Linked DNA regions of Arabidopsis thaliana. Each later gene encodes a partner of the first gene's protein in a complex. Each region holds a gene or a part of one and is shown in the gene's direction. Other genes may lie near its edges. The genes, in order: KING1, KIN10, SnRK1.3 and AKINBETA1.

Region 1 (4,789 bases):
TGAGAAATAGTTTCTTAACATGTTCAGGTCATCTATAAGGCAAGTAAAACACATGCTTAAGTCATAAAATAGAATCTAAAGAGACATTATTCTGAAATGATCAACTTGGTCTACTTAGCCTAATTTTAAGTCAATACATACAAATTTGATCTCTCTAACTATATTTGTTTTTCTCTTTCTAGTGTTCTTTTTCTTTCCAATATATATACATAGCATATTTTGAATTCTTTTTGTTTTATGGAGTAACGTCAAATATTATAATAGCCGCATATAAAATTAGAATTTATTAAATATTAATTTATAACTTTTTTATTGTAGACAATTATTTTAGGAAAGCAAAGTATATTTAGACGAAAATAGTATTAGGATGAATAATTTTTTGAAAGTCCTAATGTTGCATATTTTTTGTTTTGGTGAACAAATTTCGTGTTGTAGTTCTTAAACATCTATACTATTAATTGGGAATCATTGAAAATAAACAACCTTACGAAGGGTAAAATATTACAAAAATACTATTGATTGTTAGTATTTTTAAATAAATTCTGATTAATTTAAAATAATTATAATTATGCTTTACATTTAGAAATATATAAACAATAAATTGTACATACTTATTTTGAAATATTTTGGTTTTCTTTTTTCTTTTTTTCAACCTGATTTTTTTTTAAATAAATCCATAATATATTATTGAACAAACTTTTGAAATAATGTAAACTAATACATTTTTCATTCAAAACAAATTATCCAACAAAAATAATTTGGATTATGAGTACTATATAAAATAATTTGAAACCAAACTTGACATCAAATTAAATATCTAACTGGTATGAGTTTGGGTTATGAACACTATATAGCATGTACGTATTTTGTGACACAAATTCTATTTGTGATGTTTACAGGTTGGTAGTATTTTTTTTCCACATATACAGACGGGTTATGAGACGAAAAATTTATGATACATACATCACAGGTTTTCCATTCCAAGAAATATAAGTCAAATATACGTTTTTATTTTCTAAACTAATCAAAACATTATAACTGTTATAACAGTAATCAAAACATTATAACAGTTTGATTACTGGTGTAAAATAGGATATAAATTTGGTTTTAGTTTGGGTTATTTATCTGTGTGAATTCGGATCTTAAAATATAATTATATACCAACATAATTGAATTTCGATTATTATTCTTAACTTTATAATATTTATACTATTACAAAGTTTAATTATAACAAAATATTATATATTTTAAAAATCTATTTAAAAAGTTCTATTTTATATGTATATGAGATTTCAAATATCTAATATATTGTATTATAATATATATTACAAAATAAAAAAAAATAATTTACATTGAATTAAAAATATGAATCCGCACATACGTAAAAGTTAGGATCTAGTAATTTGTATAAAAAAGAAAGAAGAAGATAGTTATCCATTTCATAGGTCGGCTGCTAATTTTTGGCGGATTTCTAATAATTATATACAATCCAATTAAATAAATGAAATATGTCGTGGAAAGTGGAAACTATATAAAGGATAGAGATAAGTACGACTTCGACAAATGGAGATATATTATCATTATTATTATTATAATCATTATCTTTCGCTATTCCTGACCAATACCCAAATGATCTCCGCTACTCTTTCCACGTGTCAAAAGCACTGAATTGAACGGATGAGATCTTAAGTCACTAACCAAAACAACACTTGAATTTTTTTATAACAAATCACAGTTCCACCCAATGAAATCCATTTTGTTTCAAAATAAACCCGTATCTTTATAATGAAACTGAAAGATTCAAGGATGTTTTTGATAAATTAAAAACTATGTAGGGCTTCATTCATAAGATTTAAGACAACAGGGTTTATGAATTTGTCTCTGCTTCACGATCTCTCTACTATGGTGTACTGTATCTTTCAATCTATAGTTCAGTTACAAAGATCATCACAGCCAATTTTAGAAAACTTCTGACGGAAAATAAAAAGAGAGGATTTATTTTTATCTTTCTGTGTTACCGGAGAATAAAGACGGTACCTTTTCACTGTTGACTTAACGGAGAAGATGGCGACTGTTCCGGAGATAAAGATAATGAGAAGCGAGAGCTTAGGTCATCGGAGTGACGTGTCGAGCCCGGAAGCTAAGCTAGGGATGCGTGTGGAAGATCTCTGGGATGAGCAGAAACCACAGCTCAGTCCTAACGAGAAGCTCAACGCTTGCTTTGAGAGCATCCCTGTCTCTGCTTTCCCTCTCTCTTCTGATTCACAAGGTATGAGGATTTTGATGATGTGGGTGTTTGACCATGAGCTGATCTATAATTGGAACTGGTAATTGTGTTGAATTTGAATCATGTTCTATGGAGATTGATTTTGATTTTTGTGATGCAATTATTGATGGGTTCTGTGATCTCTTGGTATGTGTTTGTTGATGACTTGTAGTAGGAATATGTGCTGTGTGTTGAAATTCAAGTTATTGAAAGTTTTATAAGTCAGAATTTGGAATTCAATCCAGCTTGTTGGATACTCGAATCAGTTCGATTTAGGGAATCAGAATTAGTTCTTGATGGTTTTTGTTTCTTAGTCTCCTTGTAGAATCAGAGTACTTATTGATTCAGTTCTGCTGTCTCACATCTTTGTGGTTTCCCTATATAGATATTGAGATAAGATCAGACACAAGTTTGGCTGAAGCTGTTCAGACACTATCGAAATTCAAGGTCTTGAGCGCGCCTGTTGTAGATGTTGATGCGCCTGAAGATGCCAGTTGGATTGATCGCTACATCGGTATTGTGGAATTTCCAGGCATTGTTGTCTGGCTTTTGCATCAGGTAATTGTTCTCCAAAAAATACGAGAGGCGACTTGTTTTTGTCATGATCAAATTGGATTGTGGTACCTAGTGAACTATACTTCATGTCTGTACTCTACTTGTCTCCTTTAAAAAACAGTTGGAGCCACCATCTCCAAGGAGCCCTGCTGTTGCAGCTTCAAATGGATTTTCTCATGATTTCACCACCGATGTTCTGGATAACGGAGATTCAGCAGTAACTTCTGGAAACTTCTTTGAGGTCCTTACTTCTTCAGAGCTATACAAGAACACCAAGGTGAAGCTTGTTTTTTTATGAAGGACCTGATTTCAGTTGACTTTTTTCTCCTGATTACGGCTTCTGAAATGCGTTGGATATTCTCTCTGACAGGTTCGAGATATCTCTGGAACATTCCGCTGGGCACCGTTCCTGGCTCTGCAGAAAGAGAACTCCTTTTTGACCATGCTGTTACTTCTTTCTAAATACAAAATGAAGAGCATCCCGGTGGTTGATTTAGGTGTAGCAAAGATCGAGAACATTATCACACAATCAGGAGTTATACATATGCTGGCAGAATGCGCGGGGCTTCTCTGGTTTGAGGATTGGGGAATCAAAACTCTCTCTGAAGTCGGTCTTCCCATTATGTCAAAGGACCATATCATAAAGGTCAGTTTGTAATCTAACTCATAGCTCCATTGAGAGTTTTTTTTTTCCTTTTTTAACAGATCATTATTTCTCTTTCAGATCTATGAGGATGAACCAGTTCTTCAGGCATTCAAGCTGATGAGGAGAAAGAGAATCGGAGGCATACCTGTCATTGAAAGGAATAGCGAGAAGCCAGTAGGCAACATAAGCCTTAGAGATGTTCAATTTCTCCTCACTGCACCTGAGATCTACCATGACTACAGGTTAATACTTCACAAATCCTTGTGATGATGATACACCGAGTTTTGCAGCATTGTCAAATCTTCAATCCTTTCTCTCTCTTTATTTTAGGTCAATCACAACGAAGAACTTCTTAGTATCTGTTAGAGAGCATCTTGAGAAGTGCGGGGATACATCAGCTCCTATCATGAGTGGTGTGATTGCTTGCACGAAGAACCATACACTAAAGGAACTGATCTTGATGTTAGACGCGGAGAAGATCCATAGGATATATGTTGTGGATGATTTTGGTAACCTTGAAGGACTCATCACTCTTAGAGACATCATTGCAAGACTTGTCCATGAGCCATCCGGCTATTTTGGAGATTTCTTTGATGGTGTTATGCCTCTTCCCGAAAACTACCGAGTCTGAGAGAAAAATGGTATCTTTCTTCTGTAAATTGTCTTTTGTTTGGTGATAATGCTTCTGTCTGTTTGTGCTTAAGTTCTCGAAATTGTGTTATTAACGTTTAACAGAAATAAGAAAAGAAGAAAGAGCCTGTCTTTGAGTGAATATGTCTGAAATACAATAACTCTTAAGATTCTCGGATTTGGCCCTACATTTTGAATTTGAACAATTAGGTCTCTGGTTGGAGTAAGTGTTCTTCGAACTTGATCAAGATCTCATCCATCTCTGGTTGATGTTTCCTGACCTGAAAATTTTGGTTTCAGACAGATTTAGATACCAAATGAGACTTCCCATTACAATCACTGTAGAGAAATTTCATGTGGAAATCTAAGTGGCTTTAATTACTTTGACGTTTGCCATGGATAAGAGCTTGTGAGAAGCTACATAGGCAACATCTGAGTCATTTGGTCTCTTTTCCACAAAATAGATTACCTCAGCAACACCAGACTGCAAGAAAGAAAACCGAAATGACAAAAGTCCATATGATTGTGATGATCTACTTGCATCAAATTGGTTAATTGGACTAACTAGAACATTTGGTTTTTATATGACTGCTTAGCTGAAGACATTGACCATAAAAGATTACTAGAGTAGCTTATTAAGGATCCAAATTTGACAAATCAAGCCAATGGTATATAGAACAAACCTGTAAAAT
Region 2 (5,693 bases), about 18 Mb from region 1:
TATCAAGCTTCTAATCTTTACTGTATGGAACAGTTTCTTTGCAAATGTACTGTCCGGATCTGCCCTTTATCGTGTTAATGTGTTCCTTGAACCTAAGACTATTCCTCGTGTGCTTGCTGCAGCTGTGCCAGCACAGGTAAAGAACACAAAATTCAGTATTGAGGTTTCCGGAATTCCCTTTTCGTACCACGAGTCATGTTTATTGTTTAATCTTTGGTGTAGGCATCGTTCTTTGTATCTTATGTTGTGACCTCTGGATGGACTGGTTTATCATCAGAGATCCTCCGTTTGGTTCCTCTTCTTTGGAGTTTCATAACGAAACTTTTCGGCAAGGAAGATGACAAAGAATTTGAGGTTCCTTCAACTCCTTTCTGCCAAGAAATCCCAAGGATTCTATTTTTTGGACTCCTCGGTATAACTTACTTCTTCCTTTCGCCATTGATACTGCCTTTCTTGTTGGTCTACTATTGTCTTGGATATATCATCTACCGCAACCAGGTAACGGAACCAATCTCACTCCTAAGTATAATTCTCTGTTGATCTCTGATAAAATCATATAGGAATCAGCTACACATATTTTCGTTATATGGAATCTCACTTTTATCTTCTCTTTATATGTGATCCCTTTTCTAAATTCTCGAATAGCATCTTTAAACCGAAAGTATTTTTTGGAGCTTCAGTCATGACATAAACGTTACATCAAGAATCCATTTTCTCGTCACATAATTCTTTTTCTTCTTAATGAATCCATTGCAACTTGTTGATAGAAATAACATCACCTTTTTGTGCTGCAGCTCCTAAACGTATATGCGGCCAAGTATGAAACTGGTGGAAAGTTTTGGCCAATAGTTCACAGCTATACTATCTTCTCTTTGGTACTAATGCACATTATTGCAGTCGGATTATTCGGGCTTAAAGAGCTTCCAGTGGCATCTTCTTTAACAATTCCCCTTCCGGTTCTCACGGTCCTTTTCAGCATTTACTGCCAAAGACGGTTTTTACCAAATTTCAAATCTTATCCTACCCAGGTAAAGGCTTTAGAGAAATAGTTACTCATATTTTTGATCCAATGGAAGAAAAATATGGCTAGATAATCTTTTATTCCTAACCTAAACAAAACAAACAGAACATGATGCATAGTCCTTTATTACATTACAGCATCTACTCTAAACCTTTATATGGTGATGATGGATGTTTTACTTTTGCAGTGTCTGGTAAACAAAGATAAAGCAGACGAGAGAGAGCAAAACATGTCTGAATTCTATTCGGAACTCGTTGTTGCTTACCGAGATCCTGCACTTTCGGCATCACAGGACTCGAGAGATATCTCACCTTGAGATCACCTTTTTACTTGAGCTATTGAAGTTTGCTTATGTTGAAGCTGTTGGTTTACTATACCTGGTGCAATCCATGAAAGAACACACTAAACCGGTTGTCTTGTACATTGGGTCTTAACCGAGAATCAAGCGGTTTTTGTCTTGTACATTTGCTTACACTTGGCTTGTGTAAAAAAGAAAAAAAGTTTATGTCAATGTATCTCTCTAAACCGGTTTAAGACGGTACAAACTTTTTGAAAGATGCCAAAACAAAACGGTGGTTAATAATTTTACCACAGAGAATATTTAGCAAAAAGATGATGACTAGATGCCACGTCCGCATGGGGGTATATATTGTAATTAGTCGTAACTCTGGGGGTAATTTAGTTAAAGATTGATCCGTTTATGGAACCAAAAATCAAATAATTTCGTCTTTGATACTTGCTTGCGCCTTATAGGCTACAGGAGCGAGAGCAATGAAAGCGAGAGGAAGAATCTATCAATAATTTCTGGGTTTAAGCTGATCTCTGGATCTTCCTCAATTTTACTTTTTCAGCTCAGAAAATTTTGGGACTTTTTTTTGCTGCATTTTTTGGTTCCGAATTTTCTCCTCCGCCTTTTTTAATTTTTGGTAAGTTTCGATATCTCTCAATTTTCTTATTTCGGAAATAAAAAAAATTCTCGCCCTTTTGCAAATCAATGGATTGATCTTGAAATCGTCATTTCTGAATCGGGTACGAGAGATCCAGTAATCCTCTGCGATTGAATTATTATTAGGGTTCATATTCCGAATTGGGGATAGTCTGAAAATTGCTATTTTAAGCTCTCTTCTTAGTGTTGGTTGGTTTATTCTGGATAATAAAAGGGATCCTAATTCTCGCTAAATTCTCATGTTCAAACGAGTAGATGAGTTTAATTTAGTTTCTTCAACGATCGATCACAGAATCTTCAAAAGTGTAAAAATTACTTGCTTTTTGTTCCTATTACTCTTTTGCAGTTTGTTTTGTGTGTTGTGTACTAGTAGATCTAATATCTCTCTCTCTTTTTTTGTAGAGAATGGATGGATCAGGCACAGGCAGTAGAAGTGGGGTAGAATCGATTCTACCAAATTACAAGCTTGGGAGAACTCTTGGTATTGGTTCCTTTGGTAGGGTGAAGATAGCTGAGCATGCATTGACAGGACATAAGGTTGCTATCAAGATCCTCAATCGTCGCAAAATCAAGAACATGGAGATGGAGGAGAAAGGTACAAGTTTTGTTTTGTGTATCCATTCCACCTTAGTTGTGACTTCACGGTACTCTTGGAATATATAAATATATAGCTTCTTTTTCGTCTTCCTTCCTTTGAACTTATTTGGTCTTTGATGCAGTGAGGAGAGAGATCAAAATCTTGAGACTATTTATGCATCCTCACATCATCCGTCTCTATGAGGTTATAGAGACTCCCACAGATATTTATCTTGTCATGGAGTATGTGAACTCTGGTGAGCTATTTGACTATATTGTTGAGAAGGGTAGATTGCAGGAGGATGAGGCGAGGAACTTTTTTCAGCAGGTATGTTTTTATTTTATTTTATCAACATGTAACTTTCCAAGCAACCATTCGATTTTATATTATATTTGAGAGTTAAGAATTAGCTACTTGGCTTTGATGTAGATAATATCAGGAGTGGAATACTGCCATCGAAACATGGTGGTTCACAGAGACCTCAAGCCTGAAAACTTGCTTTTGGACTCTAAATGCAATGTAAAGATTGCTGATTTTGGCCTGAGCAACATAATGCGAGATGGTCATTTTTTGAAGACAAGTTGTGGAAGTCCAAATTATGCCGCTCCAGAGGTAAGTGCTTCAGCCCTCAGGTATCTGAGGAATACTATAATTAGGCTTGTTTCAAATGATAGGTTATAGTCGAGATCTATAAATTGTTTCAGGTAATTTCGGGCAAGTTATATGCTGGCCCTGAAGTAGATGTCTGGAGCTGTGGTGTGATACTCTACGCTCTTCTCTGTGGGACGCTTCCATTTGATGATGAAAACATTCCCAACCTTTTTAAGAAGATAAAGGTACATTCTATTACTCCTCCTCTTTCGTCTATTTGAACTAATGCTTGAATTTTTTATTTTATTTTTCGTATCACCCTTCGACTGTAACCTTTTTTTTTTCTCTTTTCGTCCTATAGGGAGGGATATACACATTACCTAGCCATTTATCTCCTGGTGCTAGAGATTTGATCCCCCGGATGCTTGTAGTTGACCCCATGAAACGAGTAACCATCCCTGAGATCCGGCAACACCCTTGGTTCCAAGCTCATCTTCCGAGGTATTTAGCTGTTCCTCCTCCAGATACTGTGCAACAGGCAAAAAAGGTAAGCCTAACGTATCTACTCTTATTTTCATTAGAGAAATCTCTATTCCCATTTTTCGATAAAGGCGTAAAAGCGCTGTCTTCATTTGTAGATTGACGAGGAGATTCTCCAAGAAGTTATCAATATGGGATTTGACAGAAACCACCTCATCGAATCGCTCCGCAACCGAACCCAGAATGATGTATGTGTTTCCCACCCACTTGTTCTTTTGCTGTTTCTTTCATTTCAAAGATTAAAAAAAATTCCATCAAAAGATCTTAAATACTGTATTCTTACCGACTGTCTTCCAGGGCACTGTGACGTACTATCTGATACTGGACAATCGTTTCCGTGCCTCTAGTGGTTATCTCGGGGCTGAGTTTCAAGAGACCATGGTTAGTCTTTTTTGTCCTTTTCGACTTTAGCAAAAGATCTTTGACGTAATGCTTCATTGTTTGATTTAATCAGGAAGGTACTCCCCGTATGCATCCAGCAGAAAGCGTTGCTTCACCTGTTAGCCATCGGCTTCCAGGACTGATGGAATATCAAGGAGTTGGCTTGAGATCTCAATACCCTGTTGAGAGAAAATGGGCTCTTGGACTTCAGGTTTTGATATTTTCTGTATTTATGGTATAAAGACTTCAGCTTTTGATATATATGTGATTAATATTGTAACAATTTGATCGCACAGTCTCGGGCTCATCCCCGTGAAATAATGACGGAAGTCCTGAAAGCCCTGCAAGATTTGAATGTATGTTGGAAGAAGATAGGGCACTACAACATGAAGTGCAGATGGGTTCCTAACAGCAGCGCAGATGGTATGCTCAGTAACTCGATGCACGATAACAACTACTTTGGAGACGAGTCCAGCATAATAGAGAACGAAGCAGCTGTTAAGTCGCCCAATGTTGTCAAGTTTGAAATTCAGGTAAATCCTCTTCTCCACTTCATGATACATATCGGTTTCCCGTACGACATTGTTTCTGATGTGTGATTTCGAGTGAAAGAAAGCTTTGTGTATTAGTGTCCATGGCCATTTTTGTAACTGAATTAGAACTAGAGTGAATCTTCATGAATCTAACTATCAATCAATATTTTCTGGGCTTGATGACGTTTGTTATTGTTGATGGTGAAACAGTTGTATAAAACTCGGGACGACAAGTATCTACTGGATTTGCAGAGAGTACAAGGTCCTCAGTTCTTGTTCTTGGATCTGTGTGCTGCTTTTCTTGCTCAGCTCCGAGTCCTCTGAATACTAAACCGGACCTCTTCAAGAATAATCCCCACTTATTCCTTTTTTTTTTTTTTTCTTATTCGTCTAAGAAATTATTTAGAAAACGTAACCCTTTTTTTCTTCTTCTCTTTCTTTCTATTTCTATATGCGTGCTCTACTCAAATACCTCTTTTAACTTAAATGTAAGACTGAGCAAGAGTAAAAAAAAGACACTTTGTACATAACTTGTAGTGCATCATGCCACCAAGATTGATTTTTGTTTTTGTTTACTCCATATTTCTTATGATTAAAATCAATAAGTTAAGGGAAAGACATTTTGACAAAAATTGAAGGAAAGATGTTTAAATTAGTTTCATTGAAAACAAATTAGCAAATTCAGAAGTAGTTGTTTTTGTTTCGTGTATTATTTGATGGGTCAATATTACACTATATTTTTTGTGTAAACAAATTAGCAAATTCAAAAATAGTTGTTTTTTGTTTTTGTCATCCTACTAATATTAAGACATTGAAAAACGAACATTTAGGATGAGCTTGATGTGTTTATTTCGAACTAAGATCCAAAAACTATACAAACTCAAAAACAAGCCCAAAAAGAATTTCAAAAGTTTCCAACGTGTGGTTTTACCTACCAGTTAATCTTCTCCTGCAAAAAAAAAAAAAACACATCAAGTGTGAGATAAACTCTCACAAAAATACAAGGAAATTTGTAATAATAATAAAAAAAGACACAATTATCTTTTGGTAAACCTGAAATTGAATAATTTCACACTGACTTGGGCTTTTTTTTTTAAATGAAAA
Region 3 (5,184 bases), on another chromosome or scaffold:
ATCCTTTTCTTGTGGCAATAATCCTTTTCTTAGCGATTCAGGAGGACACGAGGCACACTGATATTTTTTTTGATTACATATACAGATTTGTTCAAATTTAATGTATTGTTTTAGTCTTTTTCTGTTGTCCATTTATTTTCTAGCATACACCTCCACTTTGAAGTTATATTTGTCTTTTTTTGGTAAAAAAAACTAATTTAGTTTAAAAGAAAAAAAAACAGACTTAATAAATAATCCAAATAAATTGTTTCAATCATATACCAAATAAAGTAATGTTTATTTGTTTACTTGTTTACCATCTCCATGGTGTTGTCTATTTCCTAACGATTATCATTGATTTTTTATCTTTTACTTTAAAAATAAAAAGTTAGACAAATCTTGACGAATTTTTTACATACATGAATTTTTTTTGGCAAACCCGATAAAATGGTTCATAGTGATAATAGAACTGAACTGAACATAAATTGAAAAAAAAAAAATCAGCTAATCTATGGGTCTGTGGCAGTTCTAATGACTCTTTCAACAAGATCTAGCCATATTTTAGTGTATGTGAAAGGGCATGCAAAGAAGATATAGTCTTAGGCTTTTCTCGTTTCCCACAAAAATACACTATTTTGAACATTTCATCGCGGTTTTGAATAGTAATTTTAGTTTTAGTTATATAATAACTTATAAAAAAATATTTATAATACAAAAAAATCTTTTTAAATGTATAATCTAATTTTTATGGAAATGTAAAAAGGGTGTTACACTTTTTTCAGTACGTATTAAAAATTTATCTCTCATCACAAAAATCTAAATCACAATATTTAAAAGTATTAACTAGTAAATCTACTTCAAATTAAAGATTATTATTACTATTTAAATATCTCACCAATAAAAACTCATTGATTTTTTCTAATTTCTTACAAAACATTCTCCGTTGGAAATTTTCTTTATATATGTATATTCTAAATTAAAATAAGAAAGAAATATTCATTGTATGGTTAGTCAAAGTACCCACTCACATTAATGGCAACTTGTATATCAGGAAAGATATTTCTGTCTTCAAAATGTTGAATAATTAGATTCTAAAAACTGTATAAAATATTAAAATCTAACCATTTTACTAATATATTTTATATTTTTGTCATAATTAGGTAATTACTATTAAGTTAAAACAGAAACTGATCTACTTCTTAACATGGTTGTGTGTAAATTAATTTATTGTTTAATATGATTCATGAAAAAAGTGTGATACCATTAGTCAACAGTGTGACTCAGATTTACCTCAGCAAAGGAGAGTAAAAACAAAGGAAAGATGATAATATATGTGCCCATAGACTCTTTTCTTGTACTTTTCCTCAATTTTCTAGTGGTGCAATTTTTCGTGTGCATGCTCATATAATTTGTATCATGGGTTCCATTTTTTTCTTGCATCAACCATACTCTATAAGATTATGTTAAGAGTCTTCTACGTCTAAATCATTTTTCCAAAAAAAATTCTGTTCAATTTGAAGGTTTTTGTTAGAAACAAAATCTATGAATTTTATGAAAATTTACTGATTTTTATCGGTTTAGACAATCAGTCAAACCACAAATTTCTTCCTTCAACTAGGGGACCTATTCATATAGTGAACGAAATGAATTTTGCTAAAATATGATTTTGATTTGGGGCGTATCACCTTTTGGTGGATTTTCTAGTTAGATTCACCATCAATTATTTTTTATTGTTCATTTTATAGGTAGTTTTTTTCTCATAATCCGTCCATTTTATTGATATTTTACCTTGATATATATTTTTGTTATAGAGGTTTAATTATATATTTCTTTTTTATATTTCAGGTTTTATTATCTATAGTAATTAAAATGGATGGATCATCGGAAAAAACTACCAATAAATTAGTATCGATTCTACCAAATTATAGGATTGGTAAGACTCTTGGACATGGATCCTTTGCGAAAGTGAAATTAGCACTGCATGTAGCTACTGGTCACAAAGTTGCTATCAAAATTCTTAATCGCTCTAAGATTAAGAACATGGGTATTGAGATCAAAGGTATGTATTATTTACTTCAATTTTGTTACTCTTTTTTCATTTGTACAAAAGATTAGAGGAGGTATAACACCTCTCTAAATGTATATATAGATGTATCTTTATTTTTCTTCACGAGATCTAATAGGTCTACGAGATTTCGGCAACCACCATGATCAATAATTTTTGGTTTTGATAATATAATTACAAGTTTATTTGGTATGGATTGTATTTTAATACTGAGAAATCAGAAAAATATTTTTATTTTAAAATCTGTTTTTTTCTACGAAAATACTTTATCCGAATCTTAGGTCTCGAAGCCGAAAGACTGTTCATTAATATAGGTCACTGTTATGATTTGTTTTTTTTTTTGGACTACTTTATGTGGCAAAAAAATATTACGCTTTATGTCTTATATAATCGTTGTTATTTATTAGTAATCTTAATAAATGAAATTGTTTAAGTCTCTTGTAGTACAAAGGGAGATCAAAATTCTCAGATTTTTGATGCATCCTCATATCATCCGTCAATATGAAGTTATAGAGACGCCAAATGACATTTATGTTGTGATGGAATATGTTAAGTCTGGAGAACTATTTGACTATATTGTAGAGAAAGGTAAATTACAGGAAGACGAGGCTCGTCATCTTTTTCAGCAGGTTTGGTATATATATAGTATTTATCCAAACATTTTGTATTTCATAAAACCTTATATCCTTTTCGATTGGCAACACTTTTATTTAAACCATATATTCTCAGATCATATCTGGTGTAGAGTATTGTCATCGCAATATGATCGTTCATAGAGATCTTAAGCCCGAGAATGTGCTTTTGGATTCGCAATGCAACATAAAGATTGTTGACTTTGGATTGAGTAATGTCATGCATGATGGTCATTTTTTAAAGACTAGTTGTGGAAGCCCTAATTATGCTGCTCCAGAGGTATAAGAGATTAACATATTCTTCATTTTTATTTCATGAATTTGGATATATATTTGAAGTATCAATTACTCACACCTGAAACTTATTTATATAGGTTATTTCAGGAAAACCATATGGACCAGATGTAGATATATGGAGTTGTGGGGTGATATTATATGCTCTGTTGTGTGGTACTCTTCCTTTCGATGACGAAAATATTCCTAATGTATTCGAGAAAATAAAGGTATTAATAAACAACGATCTTTTTATAAAAATCATATATATTACACATGGTTATGAATTTTTTCTCTATTTCTTTAGAGAGGAATGTATACTCTTCCAAATCATTTATCACATTTTGCTAGAGATTTGATACCGAGAATGCTTATGGTTGATCCTACTATGAGAATTAGCATTACTGAGATTCGTCAACATCCTTGGTTCAATAATCATCTTCCTCTTTATCTTTCTATTCCTCCATTAGATACCATAGACCAAGCTAAAAAGGTTAGAATTTGTTTTCATTAAATTGTACCAAAATAACATCATTTTTATGAATTCAGTTAATTTTGTATCAATTTTACTCTTTCTAGATTGAGGAGGAGATAATTCAAAACGTGGTTAACATAGGGTTTGATAGAAACCATGTTGTTGATTCTCTTGCCAATAGAATCCAAAACGAGGTATGAGTGTTTTCATATTTCATATAATAATCCTATTATACTCAAAATAGTTTTATAAATGATACTCAAGTTAAATTTCGTTACTTTAGGCTACAGTTGCATACCATCTAATCCTAGACAACCGAAACCAAAATTCTGTTCCCAATGACCCTTTCCAATCCAAGTTTAAAGAGATTTCGGTACTTACTCTCTTTCTCTACAACCTGAATTTAAGAAAAATAAATAAACATTACTTCTCTATATAATTATATTTTCGTTTTAATCCTACAAATATAGGATGGTATATTTAATTCGACGTTACCAGTTCAAAATATTACTTCACATGTTGGCCATTCATTTTCGGCATTGTATGGACTAAAATCCAATGTCAAAGATGACAAAACATGGACCCTTGGACTTCAGGTTAGTCCATGCATGGTTAATGTTTAATCCATTGTTGTTCATGTTACTTTAGCATTCAATTTCGTCTCATGTTTTCTTAATTTTCTTTCTATTCAAAACAGTTTATCAATATATATATCAAAATAATTGTTTGGAATTTTGACAGTCTCAAGGGAGTCCTTATGATATCATGACTGAAATTTTTAAAGCTCTTCAAAATCTAAAAATATGCTGGAAAAAAATCGGACTCTACAATATAAAATGTAGATGGGTCCGAAGCTTTGCTTACTATAAGAATCATACAATTGAGGATGAATGTGCCATCATCTTACCGACCGTCATCAAATTTGAAATTCAGGTATATTTATCCAATTTAAGATATTATACTATAATTTAATAGTCCATAAATAACAATTTTTTTTGTTTTGATGCGAATATAAAATTATCAACAATTTACATTGTTAAAATCTATTTAGAGCAATTTCTTAAATGCAAACCTAATTTGTATCATTTTGGTTGTTGTTATAGCTATACAAAGTACGCGAAGGCAAATATTTGCTGGACATCCTAAGAATTGATGGACCTCAGTTTATCTTCTTTGATCTATGTGTTGCGTTTCTCAGAGAGCTAGGTGTCCTCTAAAGCTCAACCATCACTGGTGTTTTAGATGATTATTGCGGTTAGCTAGGTCCTCTAAAGCTCATTTCATCAATGTTTTTTCGATGATTATTGCTTCAATGTTTTAAATTCAATTATGTTTTCTATGTTTCTGTATTTATGGATTAAGTAATCCTTGACAATAAACAAAAAAAAAAAGAAGATAGATTGTATTTTTTTTTGCATTAAGTTTTGGAAAATGCATGTACTTTTTACACTTTCTCGATTTATGATGCCAATTTTGTTTGAAAAACACACAGTACATGCATTTTCATAGATTTTTTTATATTTCTAAAATATAATTTAATGAAACCACATTTGATCAATTAACTCTGTTTAGCAAAGTGATTGATCACAGATCAAGTTGAATATATATTTACCTTCTAAGAGATTACAAATCGGTGATTGATCAAACTAAAGACCAAAGATACACAACCAACTCTCATGGAGCTTCACGAGAAACTCCTCAGTCAGACACACAATTTATTTCTCCTCATCTCTTAGAATTCTCATATTGTCTATCCAATT
Region 4 (5,102 bases), on another chromosome or scaffold:
ATTCAATTGGATCAAAAACAGAACGAGGATTGAAGGATCAGATGGAGAAGACGCAATGTGAGGAAGAGAGGTTGAAGAAGGAGGCAAGTGTGTGTGTGTGTTTTGGTGGCGACACTCTTTAAGGGAGGAATAAGCGAGGATGAAACAAACAGTGAAACGTATAACCCCAAAAACCCTAGTTACTTTCCTCTTTTTTTATATGTATATGTTTATTTTATATAGCAATTTCCTATTTTTCCTATTTGAAATTTGACAAAAAATAAGAATAATATTCATGATTTGTTTAATTACTAGTATTACAAATATCCTCTAATCTGGTCTTTATCCTTCGTAATTAAAAACATTCAATTTATTTCTTTTTAATTTTTGTTTTGAGAAAACATCATTTATGTAGGGTTTTAAAAAAATTTAAATTAACTTTATAAACTTATTTTCGTTAGACCTATTTATAACGCGTTTATTTATTAACCTTAGTTTATGTCCTTAAATAGATGTGTTAGAATTTGTGTAGCAATTCTAAGTTATTTTGTACTTTTAATGTGATCTAACAAACTTTTGTTACAACTAAGGATTAGTAGTTGGTAAAAGAGAACGAAGATAACTAGTTATCGCTCTTATAATCTCTTTATTGTTTTATTGTTTAATTCGTTTAAGTTATTTAATTATAATATTTAGTCTTTTAAAAATACGTGAAAAATTATCTGAATTGTTAATATACATATAATAATTTTTATATATATGATGGATATTAACGATGATTTCTGAGGTGAAAACTATTATCTTAATTTTTTTTTTGGGTGAGGCTATTATCTTAATTCTTCAATATGTGAACCTACGAAGAATAAAGTAATTGATGAAGATTTGAATGAATTTTTGTCTCTGAAAATGACATTTGAAGGTGTCTGTGGAAGATTTAGTGTCCACTAGATAAGATTTCTAAACAAAAGGTCAATATATTGATGAAAATTGAAGTGATTGAAATCAAGTTTTTCCAATGATAGTACACTCGTTTGAAGAAAATATGAGGTTGAATCAAAACCTTAGTTCAAAGTAAATGATAAAGCAAAAGCTGAAATCTTACAATTTGAAAGTGACCAATATACAATGCGAGAAAGCAAAAGAAAAAACAATGACTCAACCTATAAGGAAAGTGCATGACAATCACTCATGGCTTAGTGAATAGTGACCATCGCCTTTTACAAGTTTACATTGGCTTTGAAACCCTCCAAACTTTTCGAAACAATCTTTCGACCAATAACTAGTTTACGGGACTAACCAATACAAATCTTGGAAAATGATGATTCTTTGACCATCTCTATTCTAACCCCACCTATTGGAGTTTAAGGCCTTTTCATCGTCACGATACGCATACTATGATCACTGGCTCTAGCAAGATGTTAAGGCACACAAATCGGTGGCAAGGAGGTGACTGGCCCTTGTGTCATTATCCTTCTCAAAGGCATTGAACCAACTTTTTATTCACATTTGTTTATTATATACTAAAAGAAATAAACAAAAAAAAAGTGGATAATTATAAACTTTTGGACGCCAAGTCACTCGTTTATCCATTTGGTACGGATTTTAATGATATCTCTCTCTCAAGAGCCCCTTTTATGCAAAATCTCTTTTTCGCTACCAATGGCATTATTCGTAATTAACTTCTAACTTGAGGGGCGTTTCATTATCTCCTCCTCGTCGTCCTCCCTCCATTTTTCTTCACGTCTGGTTTTCTCTCTCTTTTCCTCTATCTCTCTCCTCTCTTTGTCTCTCTCGCTTCTGTGATTTGGGCTTTTTCAGATGGGAAATGCGAACGGCAAAGACGAAGACGCCGCCGCCGGTAGCGGTGGTGCAGATGTTACCTCGTCCTCGGCGAGATCTAATGGCGGCGATCCTTCTGCACGCAGTCGTCACCGTCGTCCTTCTTCAGACTCTATGAGCAGTTCTCCTCCCGGAAGTCCTGCTCGATCTCCATCTCCTTTCTTATTCGCTCCTCAGGTTCCCTCTCTCGAATATCTCTCTCTGTTTAATCGTTGAATTTGATTTCTGGTTTTGAATTGAATCGATTGAAACATTCGCCCAAAGAGATAATAGTAAGAGAATCTTTTTGATTTGTTTCGTTGAGTAAGAGAATGTTCGTTCACTTGACTTTTCATTTGTTTCACTAATTGTGAGACACTTTCTTCATTTAGATAGGATCCAAGTACAAAATCTCCAGCCTTTTTTTTATGAGTGAACTCTACTTGTTCACTTGATTTGTGTTATCCTGTTGGTTCTTGAGAATTTGTAATGTAGATTCTTGTTCTTAAAGCTTTTTTCTGAGTTGGGTTTAGAGATTCTGTACTAGAGAATCTCTTTTATTTTTGTGTTATCTTGGTTCAGGTATCTTGAAATAATGCATAATGTGGAAAAGTTTCTACCTTTCTTTAAGATGTTGTTTTGGTTTCCTAGCTATTTTTTCTTTATTTTCCAGCCGGTCTCTAGTCATTTACTGGTCGCTCATGATTCTTGATGTCCCTTAGTGAGTCTTTGTGTAATTTATCTTTGTTTCATTGTGAAGAGGGCAACTTTGCAGACTAAGTACGTTTGTGAATGAAATCTTTTGTATAAAGGAATTAGACTTGACTTGGTTTTGTTTGGTTCTTGAGAAGTCAAAAACTCTGGTAAATGACAAGGTAGCTAGTTACTCTTCCTTAGTTTTGGTGGAGAGAGAGAGAGAGGCTTAGATCACCTTATTGCTATGTCTTTTCCTTTTGGTGAGTTAAAATCTTGTTAATCATACTAGAGAATCTGCTTTAGAGAAGGTCTTATTTGTCTTCTGATTATGCCTCCATGCCTGGTGTGGAAAAGCGTATGGCAGTCAAATAGGATGATTATTGTCTCTCTAGGTTTTTATGCTGATTTTGACTTTCCTGCTGCTCTCTGGTCATTTACCAGTTACTGATACTGTTCTGTTGATTTGCATGTCGCATTGTGAGTCTTTTGTGTAATGTCTTTTGCTTTCATTTTTAAGAGGAGGGAGGGCAAGCTTGTTCTTTTCTTCGCCCTTTTTGAATTTAAACACGCAGAGCTTTTACTTGAACGAATTACAGATTTTGGATGTTTCGTCATTCTTCTCATTGTTCTTAATATGTGAATAATTCATAAGATAAGTGAAGGACAACCTTCTAAAATTGACCTTGTTATCAGGTTTTTGTGGGAATAGTGAAATATCTTTTGCTAATAAGGTCTTGTCTGTACTCTGTATGCGAGTAAATTTCTGAGTCTACTGTTGCTATATTCATTTTCGACTCCTTTTCTTTTCAGCCCACATTGTTATTCCACGTTACATCTTACAACATTTGCTCACCTATGCGTCACCTCTTCCATTGTTTAGGCTTAACATGTGTACCTAATGGCTGCATTTCGTGTCGGATGGTAGATATAATGTTTTGACATTCGCAAATTCTTCTTGCACATTGGTTTGTAAGATCTCACGGCTCAGTGTTTATGTGGATATTCTCAGGTTCCCGTGGCTCCATTGCAGAGAGCAAACGCCCCTCCTCCTAATAACATCCAATGGAACCAATCACAGAGAGTTTTTGATAATCCCCCAGAGCAAGGAATCCCTACCATCATTACATGGAACCAAGGAGGTAATGATGTGGCGGTGGAAGGATCATGGGACAATTGGAGATCAAGGTATAATTGACTTTGTTTCTCGTGGACCCTCTCTCGAGATTTCGTGATATATGTTAAAAACAATATGTTTACATTCACCAGGAAGAAGCTGCAGAAATCAGGGAAAGACCACTCGATTCTCTTTGTCCTTCCATCTGGCATATACCACTACAAGGTGATTGTGGACGGTGAATCCAAATACATCCCAGATTTACCCTTTGTAGCAGACGAAGTTGGCAATGTCTGTAACATTCTCGATGTTCATGTAAGTTACTTTCCCACCTCTTTTTTTCTCATGTTAAATCTATCAATCAGCTTAACAGTATCTGCAATCATTATGCATGCAGAACTTTGTGCCAGAAAACCCAGAAAGCATAGTGGAGTTTGAGGCGCCACCATCACCTGATCATAGCTACGGTCAAACCCTACCAGCCGCAGAAGATTACGCGAAAGAGCCACTGGCGGTGCCACCTCAGCTTCATCTAACACTTCTTGGCACTACTGAAGAGACAGCCATAGCCACAAAGCCTCAACATGTGGTGCTTAACCATGTGTTCATAGAGCAAGGATGGACTCCTCAATCCATAGTAGCTTTGGGTTTAACCCACAGGTTCGAGTCTAAGTACATAACTGTTGTCCTCTACAAACCGCTCACACGGTAACCCTAAAAATTCAGTGCCACATTGTTCTCTCTCTTTCTTTCTTTTTCATCTCTCAATTATGTGAAAACATGTTCTTTGTTCATAGTGACTAGTGAGTGCCCAACATTTGAGTTTATTAACCTCTTTCTTACCTGGTTTGTGGTGCTTGTGTACAAAGCTTCTCTCATTGTAACGATTGTTGTTTTATTTTCTGCAAAAACTGTAAAATACATTCGCTAATAATGGCTATAACAAGCTTATCTGCTAGCAACCAAACACATAAATCCTGTTTTTTTTCTTCTTCTGACAAAACGTTTGCGAAAGTGACAAATTTTTGAAAATAATCTTTCTTTTTGGTATTGGAAAAGGCTAACCAGTTTGAAAGTGTACTCATAATAAATCCACGTCGTCTATTTGATTGAAAATTTTAATTTGGATAAGAAAAAGATAAAAGAGAAATAAGGTGAGAAAAAGTGAGCCACACGATGGAGTATGGCGGAAGAAGCATCGACCGAGTAATTGAGACGCTCTGTTTCCAATTACTACTCTCTCGAGCTCCTCCGCTCTGCATTGTCGCCGAGAGTTCCTTTCTTGTCCGACAAACTACTTCTTCTCCTTCGATAAGCCAATTCTGCGCCATAGATTTTTGAAATCTACTGCCGGAAAGGCTGCATGCGATTTCAACTCCCTTTTCCCGGGACAATTCGCAGGTGTGTATTCCTGAAGCTCCGTTGTACTATACTACTATTCCATGTTTCACTTCGAACGAAGAATCAATCATTCGGTAAATTGGATAATTTGGTC

The links.
Region 2: KING1 (region 1) and KIN10 share a complex: the UniProt entries of both Arabidopsis thaliana proteins name them as parts of the probable heterotrimeric complex.
Region 3: KING1 (region 1) and SnRK1.3 share a complex: the UniProt entries of both Arabidopsis thaliana proteins name them as parts of the probable heterotrimeric complex.
Region 4: KING1 (region 1) and AKINBETA1 share a complex: the UniProt entries of both Arabidopsis thaliana proteins name them as parts of the probable heterotrimeric complex.

What each region holds. Positions count from the first base shown.
Region 1 is NC_003074.8:17,985,495-17,990,283, forward strand, and holds KING1 (SNF1-related protein kinase regulatory subunit gamma 1), read left to right. Parts: upstream 1-1,883; 5' UTR 1,884-2,064; coding exon 2,065-2,269; intron 2,270-2,651; coding exon 2,652-2,824; intron 2,825-2,942; coding exon 2,943-3,098; intron 3,099-3,191; coding exon 3,192-3,467; intron 3,468-3,545; coding exon 3,546-3,709; intron 3,710-3,797; coding exon 3,798-4,098; 3' UTR 4,099-4,269; downstream 4,270-4,789. Other genes in the region: AT3G48540 (Cytidine/deoxycytidylate deaminase family protein), read right to left, coding at 4,304-4,378, 4,480-4,581, 4,781-4,789. UniProt on the Arabidopsis thaliana protein: Regulatory subunit of the probable trimeric SNF1-related protein kinase (SnRK) complex, which may play a role in a signal transduction cascade regulating gene expression and carbohydrate metabolism in higher plants.
Region 2 is NC_003074.8:30,657-36,349, reverse strand, and holds KIN10 (SNF1 kinase homolog 10), read left to right. Parts: upstream 1-1,862; 5' UTR 1,863-2,206; coding exon 2,207-2,272; intron 2,273-2,369; coding exon 2,370-2,562; intron 2,563-2,686; coding exon 2,687-2,871; intron 2,872-2,973; coding exon 2,974-3,156; intron 3,157-3,248; coding exon 3,249-3,380; intron 3,381-3,496; coding exon 3,497-3,682; intron 3,683-3,773; coding exon 3,774-3,863; intron 3,864-3,972; coding exon 3,973-4,056; intron 4,057-4,129; coding exon 4,130-4,267; intron 4,268-4,352; coding exon 4,353-4,589; intron 4,590-4,799; coding exon 4,800-4,913; 3' UTR 4,914-5,169; downstream 5,170-5,693. Other genes in the region: HYP1 (hypothetical protein 1), read left to right, coding at 1-136, 223-498, 795-1,028, 1,209-1,337; AT3G01085 (Protein kinase superfamily protein), read right to left, coding at 5,528-5,538. UniProt on the Arabidopsis thaliana protein: Catalytic subunit of the probable trimeric SNF1-related protein kinase (SnRK) complex, a central regulator of cellular energy homeostasis, which, in response to seemingly unrelated darkness, sugar and stress conditions, activates energy-producing pathways and inhibits energy-consuming processes.
Region 3 is NC_003076.8:15,780,059-15,785,242, forward strand, and holds SnRK1.3 (SNF1-related protein kinase 1.3), read left to right. Parts: upstream 1-1,848; coding exon 1,849-2,038; intron 2,039-2,488; coding exon 2,489-2,673; intron 2,674-2,773; coding exon 2,774-2,956; intron 2,957-3,050; coding exon 3,051-3,179; intron 3,180-3,256; coding exon 3,257-3,442; intron 3,443-3,528; coding exon 3,529-3,618; intron 3,619-3,707; coding exon 3,708-3,797; intron 3,798-3,894; coding exon 3,895-4,020; intron 4,021-4,165; coding exon 4,166-4,357; intron 4,358-4,527; coding exon 4,528-4,641; downstream 4,642-5,184. UniProt on the Arabidopsis thaliana protein: Catalytic subunit of the probable trimeric SNF1-related protein kinase (SnRK) complex, a central regulator of cellular energy homeostasis, which, in response to seemingly unrelated darkness, sugar and stress conditions, activates energy-producing pathways and inhibits energy-consuming processes.
Region 4 is NC_003076.8:7,203,921-7,209,022, forward strand, and holds AKINBETA1 (5'-AMP-activated protein kinase beta-2 subunit protein), read left to right. Parts: upstream 1-1,746; 5' UTR 1,747-1,797; coding exon 1,798-1,995; intron 1,996-3,245; exon of another isoform or gene 3,246-3,303; coding exon 3,304-3,414; intron 3,415-3,502; coding exon 3,503-3,678; intron 3,679-3,759; coding exon 3,760-3,922; intron 3,923-4,004; coding exon 4,005-4,319; 3' UTR 4,320-4,576; downstream 4,577-5,102. UniProt on the Arabidopsis thaliana protein: Regulatory subunit of the probable trimeric SNF1-related protein kinase (SnRK) complex, which may play a role in a signal transduction cascade regulating gene expression and carbohydrate metabolism in higher plants.